Notamacropus eugenii: one gene and its partners. The protein of the gene in region 1 interacts with the protein of each later gene in a biochemical or structural test. Links are inferred from orthologs where the notes say so. Each region holds a gene or a part of one and is shown in the gene's direction. Other genes may lie near its edges. The genes, in order: GLRX5, BOLA3 and BOLA1.

Region 1 (7,478 bases):
TTCAGGAATTAAAATTCCTAATGCTCTTTAAAAACAAAAAATGCACCTTACTTTAAATTTGCTGAAATCATGCTACAATAATGTAAGAATGAATTAGATCACCTTGGAAAGAACGTACTCTAGATGACAATGTTAAATCCACGGTACACAAACCTTCCAACAAAGAAACATATAGGGTAAAGCTTCAGTACGTTAGGCAATTCTACATATATTGATGATTGTTCCTTGGATTTACCCTGAATCATTTGAACCTGAAAAAGAAAAACCACAAAAAATTACTTAAGACACAGAAAAAATGATTTAAGACATCATGCAATTTATACAAGTTTGTAGCCTAAAATTAGCAGAAGCAAGAGTGACAGACATGGAATACATAAATACACAAAGAGAGTTCCTTCTTCACCAAGACAGTTAACTCATCAATGATCTAGTAGATAAGGAGACCCTCATGCATTTGAAACTATGAGAAAGTCACTTAACTCTCCTGTACCTCAGATTCTTCATCTATAAGAATACTGGGTTCGGCTCAATGGCCTGTGAAGTCTCTTATAGCTCTAAGGCTATGATTCTAGAGAATTATCAAGAGGCACATGAAAGTTGCTGGGGGGCAGGGGAGCAGGGCAGGCCTCACCCTTGTTAGTAGCATTTGTATCCAGGTCTCATAGATTCAAAACCCAGCACTCTACTCACACTACACCATGCTGCCTCTACAGAACTTTTCATTAACAAAAGTCTTGAAATATTCAATATAATTGAACTGTAATTTATTTTCAGTGTTTTTGGATCAATTTCCAGGAAGGGGTTTATTAAAGAATTGCCAACAGCATCTGAAACTAGTTAAATCAATGTTTCAGTTAAAAAAAATAACAAAAGTAGCATGGTATGGGCAAGATAACTGGAGGTGGAGTAGACTTAAACTGAAGTTCTAAGTTCAGGCTCTGCCATTTAGCCAGGTATGAATTTAAGCAGTTTTATTTCATCTCTCCAGGTACAAATGAGAAGTTGAACTATATTATCTCCAAGGTCCCTTACAGCACTAACATATTTAGATACAAAAATGTTCTTTAAAAGAACATTAGAGGTTTTAAACATTTTTATCGCAGTTTTTAGTGTTCAGCAAAAATTTCTCCATTTGCTAAACAATATCTTGACTGCAATGCTTCTCTTACTGTTGGTTGATAGATAATGACATGGAAGAGTCACCATCACCGTGGCAACAGTATTCAGTTGGTGTCAGAGGAATATTGCACATAATGCTGTTCGTCCTTTAACAGCCATGCCTCAGCTTCCTCTGGAATATGTTCTTTCTGCAAGTCAGGTGTACTCAGGGGCACAACCAACCCAGAGCATTCCAAGACTGCAGACAATTAAGACATTTTTGTAAAGGATCTTAAGTGCTAAGGGATGAACTAAAGATTACAAAAGTCCTATTGAAATATCCTGATCAAATTCCTTCATGACAGTATTCTTAATATACCTGAGTTATAGACCTTTATTGGACTGCAAGCTCCACTTTGGTAGAAATTGTCTTTTATCTCAATCTCAAATCTTCCCCTTTTCCCTACAGCACTCAGCAGGAATACAGAGACCCTTAACAAATATTTCTTGAAACTGAATAATAACCAAACTAGAAAGGCAGCATAGTATAGTTGATGGAGCACTGGCCTTGGTGTCAGGAAGACCTGGAGTTTAAGACCTATCTCATCTGGACTCTCCTGCCCCATCACCCTAATGCACAAAGCAAGACATGGTAACAGAATGCTATCTGAAAATGAACAGACCGTTTATAATACTGTTTCTTTGGCACTGCCCCCAAAACTGTTTTACTTAAAAATGTTCTTCTCAGAATCACTTACTGATGTTAGGCAGAAAGGGGAACAATAAATTTATGAGCTGCACCAATTAGTGGCATATATTTAAATTCTCATGTCTGTTGTTCAAAATTTCAGAAAAAGCCCTATCTTTTCTGGAGTTCCTTTCCTGTGGGTTTCACTTATGGCCCTGGACACATAGTACAAACAAAATTAAACATCCTTTACAGTCATATATAACCCAAATAATTAAAAAGAGTAAAAAAATTCTATACCTGCCCTTTCCTATTATCAATTGCTTTTACTCAATGTTTCTTCCATAACTGGGCCAATTTGGAGTTAATTCCACAGTGAGAGAACTTGAAAGGCATGGTTATGATTTTTATTCCTTGAATTAAACCCTGCCACTCAAACCTGAAAAAAATAACAATTAAAAACTGAAATTAGGAAAATTTGAAGTTCTGCTCTAAAATGAACAAAAGGAGCCATGCTGGATTCGTGGCTTGACTTGATCAGGCAGAGGATATGAAGGCAATATACGGAGCACTGATTCTAGAGCCATAAGATTGGTTATTAGACCCCTGTCATATTACTCATTGCCAATGTAACCCCAGTCAGCAAACATTTAATTGCCTATGTGCCAGGCACTGTGCTAGATGCTACAGACACAAAGGCAAAGAAATATAACAGTCCCTGTTATCAAGGAATTTGAGTTCAACCAGGAGAAACAACACGTAAGTCTATCTATAGACAGATATCTATCTGTATCTATTGTTTATATATTCATACTCATTACGTGTGTGTATGTGATCGTACACAAATACATATAAAGGATAAACATGTCCAAAATAAATGCGGGGCTAATTCAGTAGAGGAGGGAAGGAGAGGACTAGTAACTTTAAGAACTGGGGAAGGCTTCATGCAGGTGATGCTTGAGGACAGGGATTCCAGGTGAAGGTGGGGGAGTGGATTCTGGGCATGGGGGCAGCCAGGGCAAAGGCAAGGTGATGAGAGCAGAACAGAAAGCAAGCAAGCCCGGTGGAGTCTGGAGAGTACTGCATAAGGAGGATGGGAAGGCAGGTTGGGACCAAGTCATGAAGGGCTTTGAAAGTAGAACAAGAGGAAACAAAATTTTTTCTATGTATTTTTCTCTCTATATAATCATATATGCATATGTTACATATGTAGTATATTGTAATATATATATCTATATATATTTCCATATATTTTATCCAGGAGGCAAGAAGGGAAGCACCCAAATTTCCTGAATGCCTACACTATCAGCCCCGGGCTTTAGGGAAAGCATTTGGTCGGCTAAGCAGAGCAAGGACTGGGGTGGAAGGGAGGTTACTGCCACGAGGCGGCTGGGACCTAATCCAAGGGATTAGGGGCTGGAACAGAGGGGTGACGGGAGCTTGTGGGCCTCAGTTACTTCACCTGAGATCCGGAAGACCTATCCTCACGCCCCGCGGGCGTCCGCCACGTGACCGTGCACTAGCCCGAAGGGTTCCTCCTCCGCAGGCCAGAAGGAAGCTCCAACCACCAGGGGGCGCCCCAGCCTGCGCACGAGGGCGGGATGCCAGGAAGAAGGGGCCGGGCTCGCGCAGGGCCGACCGCCGCGGTCAGGGAATGGCCCAGCCCCCCGCACTGCAGTCCAGACACGCTGCCCCCGTCCCTTTCATCGCCTCCTCCGGGCCCCGAAAACGACTAACCTTAGTTGCAAAGAGATGGAGACGGAGCACGCGCCTCTCCTCTCCTCCTTTCCCGCCCGGTCCGCAGGCCCGAGGCCTCACGGGCCGCATTACCATGACAACTCCAAGTCATCATCAACCGGAAAAGGAAGAACCGGTTACAGGAAATGGCGTACACGCGGTCAGCACCGTCTCTTTCTCCCGCCCCTCCTGAGAAGTTGGTTAAAACTGAAAACAAAGTTTTCTCGATCCTCCCACAGCCCGCCCCCCAAATAACCCAGCCAACCAGTTTTTTCGCAGGAAAATCTTTATTCTCCCTTGTTACGTATCACTGGCTTCCAATCCTGACCGACGGGCACCTGGGACCGCCAATCGACGTAAAAATAGGTTATCAATAGGCGAAAGAAAAACGGCGGAGCGTGGTGGAAGGCGTAGAGACTGTACACCATCTCTTATCCCCGCCCCCCGCCAGGGGCCCAGTGAAATGATTGGTCATTTCCAAGGACTGACAGGTAAACTTCTTCTAATCCACATTTGTTCTCAAATCTTTGACCAATGGAGCCACAGCTGGGGGGCGGGACAAGGAGGCGCGGGTGCTGGGACCGAGGAACGGTTCCCTAGTTCTGGGTCGGGAGGACGTGTGGCTGCGGGAGATGAGCGGGTCTTTAGGCCGAGTGTCTGTAGCTCTGCTCCAGTTGGGGCGCGGCTTCCTCCTGCGGGGTCCGGCACTGCGGACTCAGAGCTCGGGCCCCGGGGGGTCGGGCTCGGCCTCCAGGGAGCATCTTGATGCTCTCGTGAAGAAGGACAAAGTGGTGGTGTTCTTAAAGGGGACCCCCCAGGAGCCCCAGTGCGGCTTCAGCAACGCCGTGGTGCAGATCCTGCGGCTGCACGGCGTCTCCAACTACGCGGCCTACAACGTGCTGGACGATCCCGACCTCCGTCAAGGTCAGGCGGGATCGAAGGGTCGCGAGCGGGGCCCGAGCTGCTGGGAGCCAGGCCCCTTCCTCCTCGCCTCGGGTTCCTCGCGCTCACGGGACATTGATAAGCTTCTGGAATGAGGGTGGGGGAGGAGAAAAGGGGGTGCCCGGGTCCAGCACTGCCGGGGGAGGGGGCGGGGCGGTGTCCGAGACCGCAGCTTCCCGCAGTCTGGCGGCTACCAGGTGATTGGCATGAATGCCGCCTGTTGTTGACGGTGGTATCGATCCGAGGTCTCTGGGACCTTCCCGACTTCCTAACTTGGTGCTGCCTCCATGCTGAGCAGGCCTCCCTAGGGAGCCCGGCCCGGGCCCTCGGCCCTGAGGCTGGATTTTCTGGAGCGAAGTCCAGAGGCGGCCTCCGACGCTTGGCTGCGTCCGTGTTCTCCTCTGTGAACTGGGATAATAACAGCACCTGCCTCGGGGGTTGTTTTTCGGACCAAATGAGATAATAATTGTAAAGTGCTTAGTAAGCTCTATGTAGAATACTGGTTGTCACTATTATTATTACCACTACTGTTGTTACTGTTAAGCACTGGGAAAGATTTTTTTTTTAAAAAGCTAGAGGAAGTGTACTGTTGTGGAGCTTACAATTTCGTGTTCCATCAGTCTTTTACTTTAAGTTCCATTAAGACTTGCCCTAGGTCTGTTATTTGTCATGAACATCGTGTATGACCTACTAGCATTAATGTAGTTACACTAGAAAAGCAGAAGTTTCATGAAGTTATGGTTGTGGTCTCAGGATATCTAACAATACAGTTGAGCTTATATCCCACTGAGAGTCGAAACATAAACAGAAAAGTAAATGGTAGGGGGGTCCAGGCAAGCTTCTTGGAGAAAGATAAAATATGGATTAATGGAAATGAAGAGGGAATTTATTCCAGCATGGGAGATAACTTGTGGAAAAAATGTTGAATTTTGAGTGGACCTGGGCTCAAACCTCAAATTTACTCCTTATAACATAATAAAACTTTGGCAAGTCACTTAACCCCTCTGGACCTTAGTTCCTTGTGAAGGACCTGACAGGCCTTTCAACTCTTCTTCCAGCCTTAAATCTGTGATTCTGTAGAAGCTCAGAATGCTGAGTTCAGGAAAGAACTAGTTAATGTTCAGTTTGCCTAGAATGAAGACTATATAAAGGAGAACTCTGAAATAAAACTGGAAAGCTCTGTTACTTTCTACTTGAATTCATCTCACACAGTCTGTTATCAGATTTTGGCGTTTCAGCCTTCACTGCATCTCTTCTCTATGTCTGCTTTTTTTCAGACAGTTGCCATGTAGTGCAGGCCCTCATCACCTGGACTACTACAATATCCTGTTGGTTTGTTTCTCTCCTTCAGGTCTTCCCATATTGCCCTGCACCCCCATAACTCCAGTGGCTCTCTCTTTTACCTCCAGGATTCAGATAAAAATACTCTGTTTGCCTTTTAAAGCCCTTCACAACTTAGCCCCCTCTTAACTTCCCAATCTTCTTACACTTTACGCCTTTCCATGTGCTGTTGTGATCTAGGAACACCAACCTTCTTGCTGTTTCTCAGCTATGACAGTCTCCCTCCCAACTGTGTAGCTTTTCTCTTGCTGTCCCCCATGCCTCACGTACTTTTCCTCCTTATTTCCACATTCTGACTTCCTTCAAGATTCTGATTCTTCCTCACTGCCTACAAAATATCTCCTTTCCTTAAAATACCCTCAATTGATCTTACTGTGCTTGGCTGAAGTGCTTGCTTGAGAAAAGTGCTCCTTGAGAAAGCTGTCTGCACTAAACAACTCTACTTCCTTTCCTCTCACTTGATTCATTCAGCTTAAACTACTCCATTGATTTCTTATTTACCAAATCTAAATACATTTTTGAAATCCTTATTCTTCTTAACTTCTCTGTAGCATTTGACACTTGATCATCTACAAGATTCTCCCCTTTATTGCATTACTTTTTCCTGGTTCTCCTACTCATCTGAACATTCTCTCTTAGTCTCCTTTTCTGGATTTTCATCTACAGACACTAGACTCTGTGAGGATAGTTCTCAACCTTTTTGATTTCAGGACTTCCCAAAGAACTTTTATGTGGGTTGAATCTGTTGATATTTACAATATTCTAAATTAAACTTTCCTGATATTATTAAAATAGCTCTGACCTTGTGGACACCCTGATGTGTGTGTGAAGCATTTTATAAACCTTAAAGCACTACTGTGTTCATAACAGAACTTATCTTTACCCCTAAACCCTCCCTTCTTGAACTTTGCCATTACTGTTGAAAACACCACTATTCTGCCAATAAGTCAATCTTGCAACATAGTTAATTGATTGAGTACTTCATCACTTCTGACCTGGATTATTGAAATAACCTTCTAATTGGTCTCCCTGCCTCAAGTTTCTCCCTTCCAGTCCATCTTCTACACTGCTTCCAAAGTGATTTTCTTAAAGTTTAGTTCTGTCTTTGTCCAGCACACCCTTCTCCATCCCCATTCCTCAGTAAACTCCATTGGTTTCCTTTTTGCCTCTAGTATCAAATATAAATTTACCTTGCATTTAAAGCTCTTTACAACTTGGCCCCACGCTATCTTTCCTGTCCCCTCCACATATTCCACTGTACAGCTACAATGGCTTGCTTACTATTGCTCACACATTACACTGTCTCCCATGTTCCAGCTTTTTGCACCCCATGCCTGGATTGCTGTCCCTTCTCATCGCTGTCTTTTTGTTTTCCTGGCTTCCTTTAAGACTCAAATCCCACCTTTTACAGGAAGCCTTTCCTGATTTTCCAGCTGCTATATTGCTTTCCCCTCTGAGATTACTTTTTATCTACTACATATATGTATTTACTTATATACATGTATAAAATATACCCAATACATAATACACATATATGTATATATCTGTTATCTGTCTTATCTATCCTAGTTATTTTTACATGCTGTCTTCTCCATTTGAATGTGAGTTTCTAGAGGGAAGGGATTATTTTTTACCAGCACTCAGCATGGTGCCTGGTGTATTCTGATGCTTA
Region 2 (8,634 bases), about 390 Mb from region 1:
GGACCACTCTGCTTTATGTAGCTCACAGGAGTATCCAGGTGCAAAGATGACTCACAGAATGTCAGGATAGAAAAGTACCTTAGACCCTAGAATGGAGAGTATGATCCATAAAAAGTGCTTTAGATATCAGAATGCTGAGTGTCAGAGGTTGGAAGGGCTCTAGAACACAGCAGCTTTAGAACATAAAAGTTGTTTCAATTTTAGTCCTGTCCAAGTCTTCATGACACCTTTTGGGGGTTTTCTTGGCAAAGATTCTGGAATGGTTCCCCATTTCCTTCTTCAGCTCATCTTACAGACAAGGAAACTGAGGCAAACCGGGTCAAGTGACTTGCCCAGAGTCATGCCGTTACTAAGTGTCTGAGACTGAATTTGCCCTCAGGTCTTCCTGATCCTAGCCCCACTGTTCCAGGCACTGTGCTACCTAGCTGCCAGAATATAAAATGCAAAATATCAAAACTGAAATGGACTTTAGAACTCATAGTTTCAGAGTTAGAAGGGCTTTAGAACACAAAAGGCAATGCTTCAAAGTTAAAATGGAAGAGGGCCAAACTGGAAAAAAGCTTCTGAATAGATGGAGCATTTAGAACACAGCAAGCATTTATTAAGAACCTACTATGTGCACTGGGCTACCTGCTGGGAACTCAAAGAAAGGTCCACAGTTTCATAAGGGAGACAACTGTGGACAGACAAAATATAGAAAGGTTAAATTGGGGGTAGTCTCAGAGTGAAGTGCTAGGGTTAAGGAGGTCCAGTAAAGGTTTCTTGGAGAAGGCAGGATTTTAGCTGAAACTTGGGAACAAGGAAAAAATAGGGGCCAGAGATGAGGAGAAACAGAGTTCTGAGCATGGGGGACAGCCAGTGAAAATGCCCTGAGTCCCATGTGACAGGAACAGCCTGGAACCCAGTCACTGGTTTGAAGAGTATGCACTGAGGAGTTAGGTAGGAATATGTTAGGTTACTAAAGGCTTTGAATGCCAAACAGTATTTCACACTTATTTTTGGTAAGAGGGAACCACTGGAGTTTATTGAATGGGATAGGTGAGACTTGTGCTTTAGGAAGATTACTTTGACAGTTGAGTGGAGGTATCTACTGGTATCTACAGAGCTTTGAGGCAAGGAGACCAACCAGAAAGCTATTGCAATAGTCCAGGAGGCAGTTGACAATAAATTCAGAATATCAAAGCTGAAATGAACTCTAGAACACCAGAACTTGGAAGGGTTTGGAACATGCAGAGTCTGAAGTGGAGAAGACTTTAGAACACAGAACACAGTGTCAAGTGAATGGATTTCAGACCTCATACTCTGAGAGTTGGGAAGGCTCATGAACACAGAATGTGTTGACAGTAGGACTCAGAGTATTAAGACAAAAATAGATCCAGTGACACTGGTCTCTGCCTGGCTGTTCCCCTAACAGGATACTCCATTTCCCCAATTCAGGCATTTTTCTCTGGCTGTACCCGAAGCCTAGAATGCTCCTCATCTCTACCTCCAAGCTTTAAGTCCCAACAAAAATCCCATCTTCTATTTTTTTCTTAATAGTATTTTATTTTTTTCCAATTACTTGTAAAGAAAATTTTCAACCTTCACTTTTATAAGATTTTGAGTTCTAAATTTTTTCTCCCTCCCTCCTCTGCCCCCTCCCCAAAATGTCAAGCAATCTGATATAGGCTTGCCAGGCCTAGAGGCCTGAGGGCTACCCGAGTCTTCCCTTACCTCACCTCCCGAGGTCTTCGGTTGGCCAATCCGGATGCTCGTATGAGAGAAAGGACGTTCCAGAGTCGAACAAGGGTTGAGCTTTATTTCAGGGTCTAGTTACAAGTGCAGGGGAATTCTTCCTTAGGAGGGAGTGAAGAATCTCCCAAGGAGGCAAAGATCTTACAATAAGAGATTGGAAGTAGAAGTATAAGTGGGGAGAGAGGGGGAGGGGAGAGAAGAGAGAGGAAAAGCGGAGCCTTCTGTCCTGTCAGCTCCGCGCCCCTCCGCCAAGTGAACTTTCAGGCTTTCCTGATCCTACTTAAACTCTTCAGCAGCATAGTTTGCATCTGAATACCGTGCTGTTAGATAACAATAGTGTGCCCAGATCTGGGACAATCTCGAGGGCGGGGAGAGCTCTCTCCCATCACGTTTCTCACGGGAAGAGGCGGAAATACACGAGATAGCTCGGTTCACCTCGATTCCCAGTCGTTTCCTGGGGGGGTCTCGTGAGAACTCTAAGATTTAGAAGTTCCCACCTTTACCCGCCCGAGACTGTCCACCTGGAATTGAGCTTCCATCCCCAGCATAGGCTATACATGTACAATCATATTAAACATATTTCCACATTAGTCATGTGAAAGAAAAATCAGAACAAGAGGGAAAAAACACAAAAAACCCAACAAAATGACATTTAAAAAGTGAAAATAGTATGCTTCGTCTTCATTCAGACTCCATAGTTCTTTCTCTGGACATGGACAGCATTTTCCCTCATGAGTCTTTTGGGTTGTTTTCATCATTGTATTTATTACTCAGAAGAACTATGTCTATCATAGATGATCATTGTACAATGTTACTGTTACTGTGTACAATGTTCTTCGCTCACTTCACTAGGCATCAGTTCATGTATTTCCAGGGTTTTCTGATATCTGCCTGCTCATCATTTTTTTTAAAAAAATTTATTTTTAATTTTCAACATTCACCTCGATAAGATTTTGAATTACAAATTTTCTCCCCATTTCCCCCTTCCCCCCCACCCCAAGATGGCATGTAAATTGATATAGGCTTAACATGTGCCTTCATATTAAATCTATTTTCGCATTTTCCATCATGAGTCTTTTGGGGTTGTCTTAGATCCTTGCATTGCTAAGAAGAGATAAGTCTATCAAAGGGAGTCATCATATAATGTGACTGTTACTCTGCACAATGATCTCCTGGTTCTGCTCATTTCCCTCAACATCGGTTCATGTGTCTTTCCAGGTTTTTCTGAAGACCACCATTTCTTATAGAACAGTAGTATTCCATTACATTCATATACACAACATATTCAGCCATTCCCCATTTGATGAGCATCCCTTCAATTTCCAATTTTGCCATCACAAAAAGAGCTTCCATAAAGAATTTTGTACATTGTGGGTCCTTTGTTGTGATCTTTTTGGGATACAAACCTAGTAGTGGTGTGTTCGTCCTTCGTTGCCGAAGAAGACCATGCCATCAGAGAAATAATGACATGACTTGAACTTGATTTTGTTCTGAGTGAGGGAGGGCTGTGTAGGTCACCAGCCTCACTTTTCCTCCAGAGCCATCTGAATCCAGTGACCTGATATTCATCAGGATGACTGGAGATGACCCAGGATCAGGCAATTGGGGTTAAATGATTTGCCCAAGGTCACACAGCTAGCGAGTGTCAAGTGTCTGAGGTGAGATTTGAACTCAGGTCCTCCTGACTCCTGCACTGGTGCTCTATCCACTGCACCACCTAGCTGCCACTACCTAGTAGTGGTGTTGCTGGATCAAAGGGTATGTACAGTTTCATAGACCTTTGGGCATAGTTCCAAATTGTTCTCCAGAATGGTTGGATTAATTCACAACTCCACCAAAAGTACATTAGTACTCGAATTTTCTCATATTCTCTCTAACATTTGTCATTTTCCTTTTTTTGTCATGTTAGCCTATCTTATATAAGTATGAGGCAGTACCTCAGAGTTGTTTTAATTTGCATTTCTCTAATCAATGGTGATTTAGAGCATTTTTCATGTGACTGTAGATAACTTTAATTTCATCTGAAAATTGCCTGTTCATATCTATTGACCATTTAAAATTGGGGAATGAGTTGTATTACTATAAATTTGACTCAGTTTTCCATATATTTTAGAAATGAGGCCATTATTAATGACACTGGTTATAAAAATAGTTGCCAAGCTTTCTCATTTCCTTCTAATCTTAGCTGCATTAGTTTTGTGCAAAACCTTTTAAATGTAAGATAATCAAAATTATCCATTTTGCATTTCATAACGTTCTTTATCTCGTTTAGTCCTAAATTCTTCCCTTCTCCATTAATCTGACAGGCAAACTATTCCTTGCTTTCTTAATTTGCTGATGTTATCACCGTTTGTCTAAATTATGTACCCATTATTGATCTTATCTTGGTATACAGGGTAAGATGTTGGTCTATGCCTAGTTTCTGCCATGCCATTTTCCAGTTTTCCCAGGTTTTGTCCAATAGTGAGTTCTTATGTCCGAAGCTGGAGTGTTTGTGTTTATCAGACAGTAGATTGCTCTAGTCGTTGATTACGTCTTGTGTACCTGACCTATTCCACTGATCCATTTCTCTAAAATCCCACCTTCTACAAGAAGCCTTTCCCTTTTCTAGTCCTTTGCTCTCTTAATTATTTCCGATTCATCTATTGCTTGTTTGCAGGTATTTGTTCGATTGTTGTCTCCCTCACTGGACAGAGACTGCCTTTTGCCTTTCTGTCCCCAGCGCTTAGCACAGAGCCTGGCCTGTGGTGCAGTTAATTAGAGTTAATTGACGTTAGCATACTGAGCTCCAGGGCTGAAACTGACTTTGGAATGTTGAAAATCCAGCCGAAGTTGACCAAAGAAAGCAGACGTAGGGGCTGAAACTGACTTTAGAACGTGGAGTATCCGAGTGGAAACTGACCAAAGAACGCACACCTAGGAGCCAAAACTGACTTTAGAACGTGGAGTATCCGAGTGGAAACTGACCAAAGAACGCACACCTAGGAGCCAAAACTGACTTTAGAACGTGGAGTATCCGAGTGGAAACTAATCAAAGAACGCAGATCTAGGGCAGAAACTGACTTTAGAACTTGAATATCCAAGCTGAAACTGACTTTAGAACGTGGAGTATCCGAGTGGAAACTGACCAAAGAACGCACACCTAGGAGCCAAAACTGACTTTAGAACGTGGAGTATCCGAGTGGAAACTAATCAAAGAACGCAGATCTAGGGCAGAAACTGACTTTAGAACTTGAATATCCAAGCTGAAACTGACTTTAGAACGTGGAGTATCCGAGCCGGAAGAGGCAGAGTAGCCCGGGAGAGACCTGGCCTGCAGAAGCTTCCAGACATGCTACGCGAAACGGACTTTGCCCCGCCGCGGGGGGAAGCCCAAACTGGCCCAGAACGCCGCGGGGTGCTCGCCCCTCCTCCCGTCCCGCCCCTCCACCCCTCCGGGCGGGCCGGCCGAGGGGGCGGCCTCCGAGGCGACAGAGGGCGGGCTCGGCCGCCGGCTCTCTCCCCGCCCCCGGCCCCGGCCCGGCCCTCTCGCCTTCCCCAGCGTGGGTGACTTTGAGCCGGCGTGAGTCGCAGGCTCCGCACGGCCTCTCCCCGCCCCGCCCCCGCGCCCGTTATGGCGGCTTCTCATCTTCTCTGCGGGAGGAACCTCGGTGTGGTGAGAGCCGGGGGCCGGAGGGAGAGGGGGAACCCTACGCGGGGAAGGGGCCCTTGGGAGAGGGGGGGCTCAGGTGGCGGAAGGGAGTGATGAGACATGAAGCAGGGAGGAGACGAGAGGGACGGGCGGGCGCCGACCTAAGGCGTAAAGATCCGAGGCTCCGAGGGGGTCACGTTTGGGGGGAGGGGCGGAGCAGGGGCAAGGTGACTCCAGAGACTAGAACTGGAAGACCGAAGTCTCAGAGTGGGGGAGGGGATGTAGCTAAAGCAGACTAATGGGGTGCGGAGGCTGAAGATTGGGGACAGGAGGGTGTCTTTGCTGAGACTTAGAGGAGGGGGGGAGGGGAATGTGTATTGGAGGAAGCCAAACGGATCGTCTCTGACACCAGGGAGAAAGCCCCCCTGAAATTTGGCCGCAGTGACCCCAAGGACTTCCTGGCTTTATAGAGGAGGACACAGGCCCGGAGACAGGAAGGGAGGTTAGCTCCCAGGCAACCCGACATGTACAGACCTCCAGCCTTTGCAAAGCGCTTTACAAATACCTCTTTTTATTCTCAGAACTACCCTGGGAGGTAGGTGCTATTGTCCCCCATTTTATAGATGAGGAAACCGAGCCTAAGAGATCAGTGACTTGCCCAGGCTCACACAGGTAGGACGGGACTGGCCCTGTGACTTCACTGGTCCAGGAAACTCCCAGTGTCAATGCCGGCGAGGTAACACTTCTTCCACCCCCCTGGAGCCCTGAGAAGTTAATGACTTGCCTACAGTCTCACTGTCAGAACTCGAATTCAGGTCTTGGCCCTGCCATGGAAAATGATTATGGGAGGGAAGGCCCTAAAAAAGGTGGTGCTTGAGCTGTGACTTGAAGGGAGGGAGGAAAGGGATTCAGGAGGTTGGGGGGTGGGGAGAAGAGGTGCATTCTACTGTGGGGGACAGCCAGTGCAAAGATGGTGCTGGGAGGGGGATGATACAGAAGAGTAGCCCTCTATCTGTGTGTGGTGACTTCCCCATGGTTCATTTATTGTTAGCACAGTGCCTGGTATGCAGTAGATGTTTAATGCTTGCAGCTTGATTGGTAAGAAAACTGAAGATAGGCAGCGGTAAAGTGTTAGCCCAGAGTTGTTCTCCAGGCACACAAGCACCAGATTCCCACTCTATCCTAGGCTGTGCTGCTACTCCTGTCCTCAGAAATCTGTGACTCCCCATTGTGCCTCCTGAGGAGAGTCCCAACTTAGTACCTTAGCCTTTAGTTCAATTCAGCCATATTTATTGATTGCATAATGCTAGACCCTGAGGATACAGAGACAAAACCCACACAGACCCTGCCTGTGGGAACTGACATTTTGTGGGGGCACTATTGATGGCCTGTGTGGACATGGAAAAAGATGTGGACAAAGGAAGGCCAGCTGGAGCATCAGGGGAGCATCACAGGAAGTGGTGGCAGGACAGTGGGGGACACATGTCATGCCTATGAACTTAGGGAGGCAAGAGATGGCTGATGAGTTCATGAATGATGTACACCTCCCTCCCCCAGTATGGCTGGGCCATGGAGGGCTTGAGGAGAATCCTGTCAGGATAGCAGAGGACCTTAGGTGCCACCCAAGGGATAAGGGAGGGAGGCAACCTAGTATCTTGTTGGTGTAGAGAACTCCCAGGGGAGGAACTTCCCTCTACTAGTACAAGTCAACACCTCCTTTGCAAGGTCAGGGCTTAGGTTATGACACTTGCCCAGGGTCACACAGCCAGTGGGAGCCCAACATGGGAAGCCACAGAAATGCCATGGAATTTGTGGGAAGCCACAGAGATGCCATAGAATTTGCTTTAGTCTAGATCTAGGGAATTCCAGAAAGGTTTTTGATTAGGAGAATTATATGGCCAGATTCCTGTAGCAGCTGGTGGAGAATGGATTTCCATTCATGGGTGCAGTCAGGTTGAAGGTGTGCCCAACTGAGAGGTCTTCTAGGGACCAGAACCCTCCTTTTATGGAGGAGGAAACTGAAACCCAGTGAAGCTCAGTGACTTGTCCAAAGTCTTTTGATGCTAGAGCCAGTGGAGAGGAGGATCATCTTGGGACACCATAGTGCATAGAGCATCAGGACAGGTGTCAGGAAGACCCGAGTTCAAATCCAGCCTCAGACACTTACTGGCTATGTGACTCTGGGCAAGTCATTTCACCCTGTTTGCCTCAGTCTCCTCATCTATAAAATGAGCTGGAGAAGGAAATGGCAAGTCACTCCAGCATCTCTGCCAAGAAGACCCCCCACATGGGGTCACAGAGTCAGACATGACCGAAACAACTGAACACCAACATAAATGGAGAGAAACAAAGAAGTCCCACCTAGGCAAGATATCTTGGAGGTCAAGTCCGGGTGGGCAGTGATTGGATCCGAAGGTAGATGTAACCTGAGCTTCTTGAGGACAGGGTTAGGGTTAGCTTTGTGGTGTTTACTAATACTTGTTGATTAATAATTGATGAAATGGGAGCTAAAAAGATGCCCTCCGGGTTAGGAGCCTCTGAGGTTCCCTTCCACCCACTCCCTATTGGAGCATGTTTGTACTCAGTTATCTATCCCTATTCAAATGGAAATTCATTGAGGGCAGGCTTTTGTTTTGCTTTCTTGGATCCACAGTGCTTGGCACATGGTAAATTCTTCATGAGTGTTTGATTTGGAGAGTAGTCTTGCCGTCCTCAAAAATAAGGATGTTTGCCATTGGAGTGCCAGTGTTGGCAATTGGAGTTGGCAAAGGTTGGAAGAGAGATGATTCATTCTATGCTGAGCACACAGTAGGTGTTTCATTAATGTTTGCGGACTGCCTGTCTGACAGGCTGAGTGGAACATGTGGAACTCGGAGGAGGAGCTGTCCAGCAGCCAGCTAGCTGGTGACGTGGTGCCGGAATGACTGAGAGGAATGAGGGCTGGGTGTGCACACGTTTGAGTCATCAGTGATTTGACAAAAAGGGAGGAGGGCAGAGCTAGAAAAGAGCCAGGACTGGGAGGAGAGAGTTTCCACCTGGATGACTGGCAGGTCAACCACAGGAACAGGGGGAGCAGGAGGTAAGTTTTGCTGGGCATCGCACAGGGTAAATACCAACGGATCAGAAGAGACGTCCAGGCTCACCTAAACCTGATGGAGGATCATCCCTGACAGCTCCCAGGCAGCGGCTGCCCAACTTTGAGCTCCCTATCCTGGCAATAGCTCCCCATGCATGGTGTCTTCCCCTTTAGATGGGAGCTCTTTGGGGGC
Region 3 (6,479 bases), on another chromosome or scaffold:
ATTGAGAATCACAGGATCCATCCCTTACTGCTCAGACAGCTACCATCCTAGTTCATCCCTGAATCAGTTTTTGCTTGGACTATATTACAATGGCCCCCTCATTGTTCTCACTGCCTCAAGTCATTTACCTCTCCCATCTATCTTCTACATAATCGCCAAAATTATTTTCTTAATATGGTAGTCTTAACTATGTCATTCACCTATTCAGTAAACTCTAGTGGTTACCTATAGACTCTAGGATCTAATATTTTACCTTCATCTCATCCTTTTTTAATTTGTATTTTTGTGTAAGTTTTATAATTATAATTTATAATAGATAATTATTGGTACAGTACTATATAAATTATAAATAAACATACACATATTAGGTACATGATCAAGAAAGTTTGGAGAGCAGTGGATTCCTAGAATCCCTACTGGATCTTACCCAACAATAAACATATCTTCTTTTCTGCTATTCTCATAAGGTCATCCTTCATTCTCAGAGAGGACCAATGACATCAGGAGGGTGATGTCTTCCATGTGGATTGGATTTAAGTGAGGCAGAGCTACTCAAAGTCAGCCTCACTCTCTCCTCCAGAGTTATCCAAGTCCAGTGGCAAGACATAAGTCAAGACAGGGTATGGTGGGAAGCCTAGGCCTTTTTAAGCTAAATCTTTCCCAGGTTTCAGGTTGTCTGATCCATTCAGTAATTAAGAGCTAGGTAAAAATTGAGACAAAAGATGGCCTATGTCAACCTGAAAATTTGGTTAAAAGAGGCAAACAGACTAATTTTATATTGTTTATTCCCTTAAAGCTAGCAGTTACATGATCTTGGGGCCAGAAGGAAACCTCTGACTGACTAATACAAGAATGATCAGGTGTAAATCTGTTTTAGGAGAATCCAAAGATGTCTGTGTCCCTCAGATTTATGGCCTCTACATGTGATTCACTGTATCATGAGAAAGGAATTCTTTTAATTGAATAGGTTGTAAATACAATAATAAAAGAGAGTTGAGAAAATGTCAATTGAAATTATGACCCAGGATACCCAGGATATCTCCACAAAATATTAAGATAAGGAAAAAGTCCTACTATTCAAGATAGTGTCTCCAGTTAGGGGTCTCATAAAGTATGGTAAGTCAGCCTCATCTGACCTTGTGGACAGAAGAAGAGGCATTCTCTGAGTTTACTTCAGAGAACAAAGAGACTGTTAGGTCCAGGCTCTTCTTCTGACTGATTAATTCAAGGTCTGACCCTTACTAAAGTCCAAAAGTGATATTAAATGATTATCACCTAGTTTGCCATCACAAAAGAATCAGCCCAAAAGAGGAAGAGTTACTGACCAGAACAGAAAACAATTGCTATTTACACTTACTCTGAATCATCAAAACCCAAGCAACGAGCAAAAGAGGCTTAGGCTGGGATCTATTATTGGCTAATCAATGAAAGCCAGAGTGATATGGATTTATAAGCACAGTCAAGTGGCTCCATTTGAATTTCAATGGGCTTTTTAAAAGTCTGTTTTTTCAGAGCTATATTTCAAGAAATAATAAATGAAGACTCCATGAAACAAAGAGTTAATTGTCCCAGCTTCTTGAAAAAAAAAATGATGAATAAATGAGGGGATCTAGTCCCCAAACCCCAAGATACTTTGTGAAGTACAAATGTTCAAAAATTATAGTCCTTTGTACAAAGCACCCACATATAAGGGTATCACTCCCCACATAGACAGAAAAGGAGAAGAAGGAGGAGAGAAAAAGAAAGAAGAAGAAGAGGAAAAGCTCTTGATAGGTAGGTCATATAGCTCAGGTAAAAAGGGGGGAAAAGTGTGTGTGTGTGTGTGTGTGTGTGTGTGTGTGTGTGTGCAAGAACAGCCAGGCCTGGAATCAGGAAGACCTGAGTTCAAATCTGACCTCAGACATTTACTAGATATGTGACCCTGGACAAGTCATTTAACCCTGTTTGCCTCAGTTTCCTCATCTGTAAAATGTGCTAGAGAAGAAAATGACAAATCACTCCAGTATCTTTTCCAAGAAAACCCCCAAATAGGCTCATGAAAAGTCAGAAATGACAGCAACAAAATAATGCATGCGTGTTGTGTGTGTATGTGTGTGTGTGTGCACGCATATGTCCATCACCTACTGATGGTATGTGTCACACTCTTGAGCGGACAAACTGTACTTTACTTGCCTGTCTGTCTACTGTGCTGGCTTAGTTAGTCAGTAGCTAGCAAGGACCCTGAAAATTCTGTTGATACCAAAACTATTGAGACCTAGATATAAGCTATATTCTGAGTTTCCTGGTAGAAATTCTGAGGATATCAAAGACTGAATACCACCTGTGTAAATACAGAACTTGGAATATTGGGTCATAAAAGACAGATTCTGGCATAGTGGATGGTTTTGGGTTTACAGTCAGGAAAGCCTGCATTTGAATGATTCACACTCAAATATTGCTTCCTGCTCTTGGTAACTGAGTGACCTGCATCAAATTACTTAGCCCTTCTGAACCTCAGTATTCTCATCCATTAAATGGTGTTGATAATAGCACCCATCTCACAGAGTCCTTGTGAGGAACAAATAATGCTTTGCAAACTTCGAAGTGCTACACTAATAAGAACAATTATCATTTTAAAACTTGGGGCTAATACATACAAAGGTGACTGAAGGGATCATCATGGATAGAATTGTTACATATCCCAATTATTATATAGGATGTTCTCTATTCCAACATATCCTACCATTTTGGGGTATTTCACAGGTCTATTGTAAAAAAAAAAAAAAGACATTTTGTAAACCTGAAAGCACCATCTAAATGTGAGTTTTCAACTGTTAGTAGTATTATTTATTAATAGTCTGGCTGGATTCAAATATGAAGCCATTCTGTATCTTCCCCCACCCCATTCTTGTGTCTCCAGTTAGAATATCCTTCAAAATAAAATCTGAGATTCCTAATCCTCCTTTGATTTGATAGTAGTGATGGAAACCAGAGAAGTCAGAAAAGAAGTGGCAGAACCATATCACTTTGCATTCAACCCATAACCATAAAAGAGGTTATGATCTCCTGATCACAAATTAATTCTAATAACTTAATAAAGACTACTTCCTTGTCTTTATTAACTACAGAAGAGAATACAAAGAAAAACATTTACATTCTAATGAGGCAAACAATACATATATACAAGGAGCAATGTGAATGTATCTCAGGGCTGACATAGGGTTGGCATAGTATGGTAGAAACCTAGATGTCAGAAGGCTTTCAGATTCCCAACCCAGCTCATATACTTACTTGCTGTGTGACCAAGGACAAGGCATTTAATCTCTGAGCTTCTTTTTCTTCAACTATCTATAAAATGGAGATACTAATTACTTGTACTGCTTACCTTAACAGTTTACAAACTGCACAACATAAATGAGCTAAGATTATTAAGTATTTTGCCGTGTCCTTGTGTTAGGGAGAAGTAAAACTCTAGAGGTAGACACTCTAGAGGTAAGATAGCATGGTGTAGGAAATGAGCCCCTGACCTGGGAATCAGACCAGAATTCTAGTCCTAGCTCCAAACTAAACCAGTTGTGGGAGCTTAGATAAATCATGTCACTTTTCAAAGCCTCAGTTCTCTGATATGTCAAGAGTAGGGATTAGCTCTCTAAGGTCCCTTATAACCATTATCTTATAGTAATTATATTTAGTCTTCTCCTTAGGAGAATGTGAGCAATATTGGGCTTTATTCTTGTTTTTTCCCAAAATAATCAAAGGATTTTCCATCAGGAGCCTAGAACTTTATGGGGTTAGAAGTACCTTTAAAGAATCAAGGTAATCCAGGAATTGGCAAGCTTGAGGCCAAGTTCCTTATTTCTCTATTCTTACCTTTCCCATGCTGTGCCTCAGTTCCCTGTGGTTCAGGATGAAGGGGACTGAATACCAGTAAGTCTTCCCACTACCAGGTGCAATTTGGGAGAGCTATTTGATCAATGATTCATTCATTTGAACCCCTGACTACATACAACATACATACATATAAGTATATATTCGCATGCATGCATATATATACACATATAGGCACATACATGCATATGTGTGTGTGTGCAAGGTGACGTTCTTGGTACGCATAAAGGATTTACAACACTACCTGTCGTCTGTCTCTGGTTAAGGAATTGAGTATTGGGCTGTTGCTAAGGAGAGGGAAACAGTTCAATCGAATACACTGTAACTGATCCTCTTTCACGAAGACCCAGCTCTCCCATCCAGCCTCTGTTGACTGTAGGCTCAACTGAAACTCAAAGGAGGAGGGGGAACTACAACCCCCATGAATGCTCAGGACGCTGGTTACGCGGCATGTCGGGAATTTGGTAACCTTGCCCCACGCCCGCTCTCCAATGAGAGGATAAGGACTCCATTTCCCGGCATGCCTCCGAAACCGGGACTCCAATCCCCCGTGCGTCCTCCGCAAAAGTAGGAACAGGGCGGGCGTCACGAAGCCAGGAGCGTTGGAAGCGATCGACCTCTAGAGACAGGTAGAAAGAGGGGTACCGACCCAGTGTGGGCTCAGACATCACCCTTGAAGTACGTGCACCCCAACCCTTCCCTATATTCCCTGCCGCCATTAGAACGTAGAAAATACCAGAAAATAGAATGTTCGATTTGTATAGCCAGAGCTTAGCTCAGTGCGCGTAGTAAGCGCTTAATTAATACAACGTTCATTCATTGAGTCCGCAGCAGCAGCCCCCCCGCAGTGCGCGCGCGCACACACGCACGCACGCACTCTGCCCCCTCCCATTCCTTCTCTGCACCCACATCCCATACCTCCCCCCATTTCGTTACCTCCAGCCTCCAGCTCTCTGCGTTCTAGGCACCCCTTCCCTGCCACCCCGAGCTCTTTGTAGCCCTCCTCCTCGACGTCACAGAAGAATGGGGTGGGATCCCCCTACTCCCCCCCATCCCCGCCGGGTGCAGTTTGGGTGGGCTGCCCGAAGGAGGGCGGTTGGGAGCTTGGCTTGGGGGATGGGATAGGGGTGAGGTCGGGGTTTGCGTGGGGGTGTCCCTAAGTCCCGTTTGTCCTTTCCCCCCTCCCTGCCTTTCCCCTTCCCCCATCCTTCCTGTAGCTGATGCTAAGTGGGCTTCGAGTCCGACTCCTGGCCCCCAGGGCTGTGTCCGTCTGCGTCTATCAGTCCAGTGGCTGCATAAAGAGGGTAGGAATGGAGGGTCCTGTGGAAGCGGCAATAAGAACCAAGCTGGAGCAGGCTCTGAGCCCAGAGGTGCTGGAGCTTCGTAATGAGAGCAGTGGCCACGCGGTGCCCCCCGGGAGCGAGACCCATTTCCGAGTGGCCGTGGTGAGCTCCCGCTTCGAAGGGCTGAGCCCCCTACAGCGCCACAGATTGGTCCATGCTGCCTTGGCTGAAGAACTTGCTGGGCCTGTGCATGCGCTGGCCATCCAAGCCCGGACCCCTGCCCAGTGGAGAGAGAACCCCAAGCTAGACGTCAGCCCCGCCTGCCGAGGTGGGAATAAGAAAGACCTCCGTGGTGTCTCCTGAGACCTTGGAGAAGAGAGAACACGTGTATTCTAGATATGTGGGAGGAAGAGAGTGACTGACCTTGATTAGGGCCTGCCCTTCCAAAATAAAAATGTGGTTGTGTCTGACCGTGTCTTTGTGATTGTGAAACTGAGCTGAGAAAGTAATGTCCCATAGTGTAGGCACTCAAAGGACTGTTACGTGGCGCTTTATCCCTGTGGCTCAGAGAAATGCCGCTGGTTAATTCATCTGAACCCCTGCTTATGGGCAAGGTGATATCTTGGTACTGACACCAAGGAAGGATGGCTGGCATTGATTTAGAAATGAAAGCTTACAAAAGTGTGTTATATATTGATTTCAAACTTCATAATAAACTTAAAGTAGGCACACTGTACATTATATTCATTTTACAGATAGAACAGGTTCACAGAAGTAAAATGACTGATTACTAGGGAGACCATATCAAGTCAACAAACATTTGAGTGCATGTTCTGTGCCAGGCACTGGAAACTAGGCGCAAGTGGATAGAGCAGTGGACCTGGAGTCTGGAAGATTCACATTCACATCTGTGTGATCTTGGGCAAGTCACTTAATCTCTTCTTTAATTTTCCTTAACTGTAAAATAGAGATAATAATAGCACCTCCCTCTCAGAGTTATTGTGAGGATTAAATGGGATGATATTTGTAAAACACAGCACACAGTAGGCATGATATAAATGCTAGTTATTATCACTTTGCTAAATGCTGGGTATAGAAAGAAAGGCCAAAAATAGTCTGTCCTCAGTGAGATCACAAGTTAGTGGGAGAGCCAAGATGCAAATTACTATGTCCAAATAAGATATAGGCAGGAAACAGGAGATAATTTCAGACGCAAGACACTAACATTAAAGACGATGGAGAAAGGCTGCTTACAGAAGGTAGGATTTTAGTTGAGAATTGAAGAGTGCCAGAAGGTGAGGAGGGAGAGCATTCCAGACATGGGGAGAC

The links.
Region 2: the proteins of GLRX5 (region 1) and BOLA3 form a complex in vitro, tested with the Homo sapiens proteins (4 studies listed by BioGRID and IntAct, with this or other methods). The link is inferred for Notamacropus eugenii from reciprocal best matches to the Homo sapiens genes GLRX5 and BOLA3.
Region 3: the proteins of GLRX5 (region 1) and BOLA1 form a complex in vitro, tested with the Homo sapiens proteins (2 studies listed by BioGRID). The link is inferred for Notamacropus eugenii from reciprocal best matches to the Homo sapiens genes GLRX5 and BOLA1.

Annotation. Positions count from the first base shown.
Region 1 is NC_092872.1:363,202,144-363,209,621, reverse strand, and holds the start of GLRX5 (glutaredoxin-related protein 5, mitochondrial), read left to right. Parts: upstream 1-4,062; 5' UTR 4,063-4,155; coding exon 4,156-4,447; intron 4,448-7,478.
Region 2 is NC_092872.1:750,685,179-750,693,812, forward strand, and holds the start of BOLA3 (bolA-like protein 3), read left to right. Parts: upstream 1-5,072; 5' UTR 5,073-5,347; coding exon 5,348-5,389; intron 5,390-8,634. UniProt on the Homo sapiens protein: Acts as a mitochondrial iron-sulfur (Fe-S) cluster assembly factor that facilitates (Fe-S) cluster insertion into a subset of mitochondrial proteins. Probably acts together with NFU1.
Region 3 is NC_092873.1:303,721,339-303,727,817, forward strand, and holds BOLA1 (bolA-like protein 1), read left to right. Parts: upstream 1-4,346; 5' UTR 4,347-4,496; exon of another isoform or gene 4,497-4,545; intron 4,546-5,084; 5' UTR 5,085-5,087; coding exon 5,088-5,513; 3' UTR 5,514-5,620; downstream 5,621-6,479. UniProt on the Homo sapiens protein: Acts as a mitochondrial iron-sulfur (Fe-S) cluster assembly factor that facilitates (Fe-S) cluster insertion into a subset of mitochondrial proteins. Probably acts together with the monothiol glutaredoxin GLRX5. May protect cells against oxidative stress.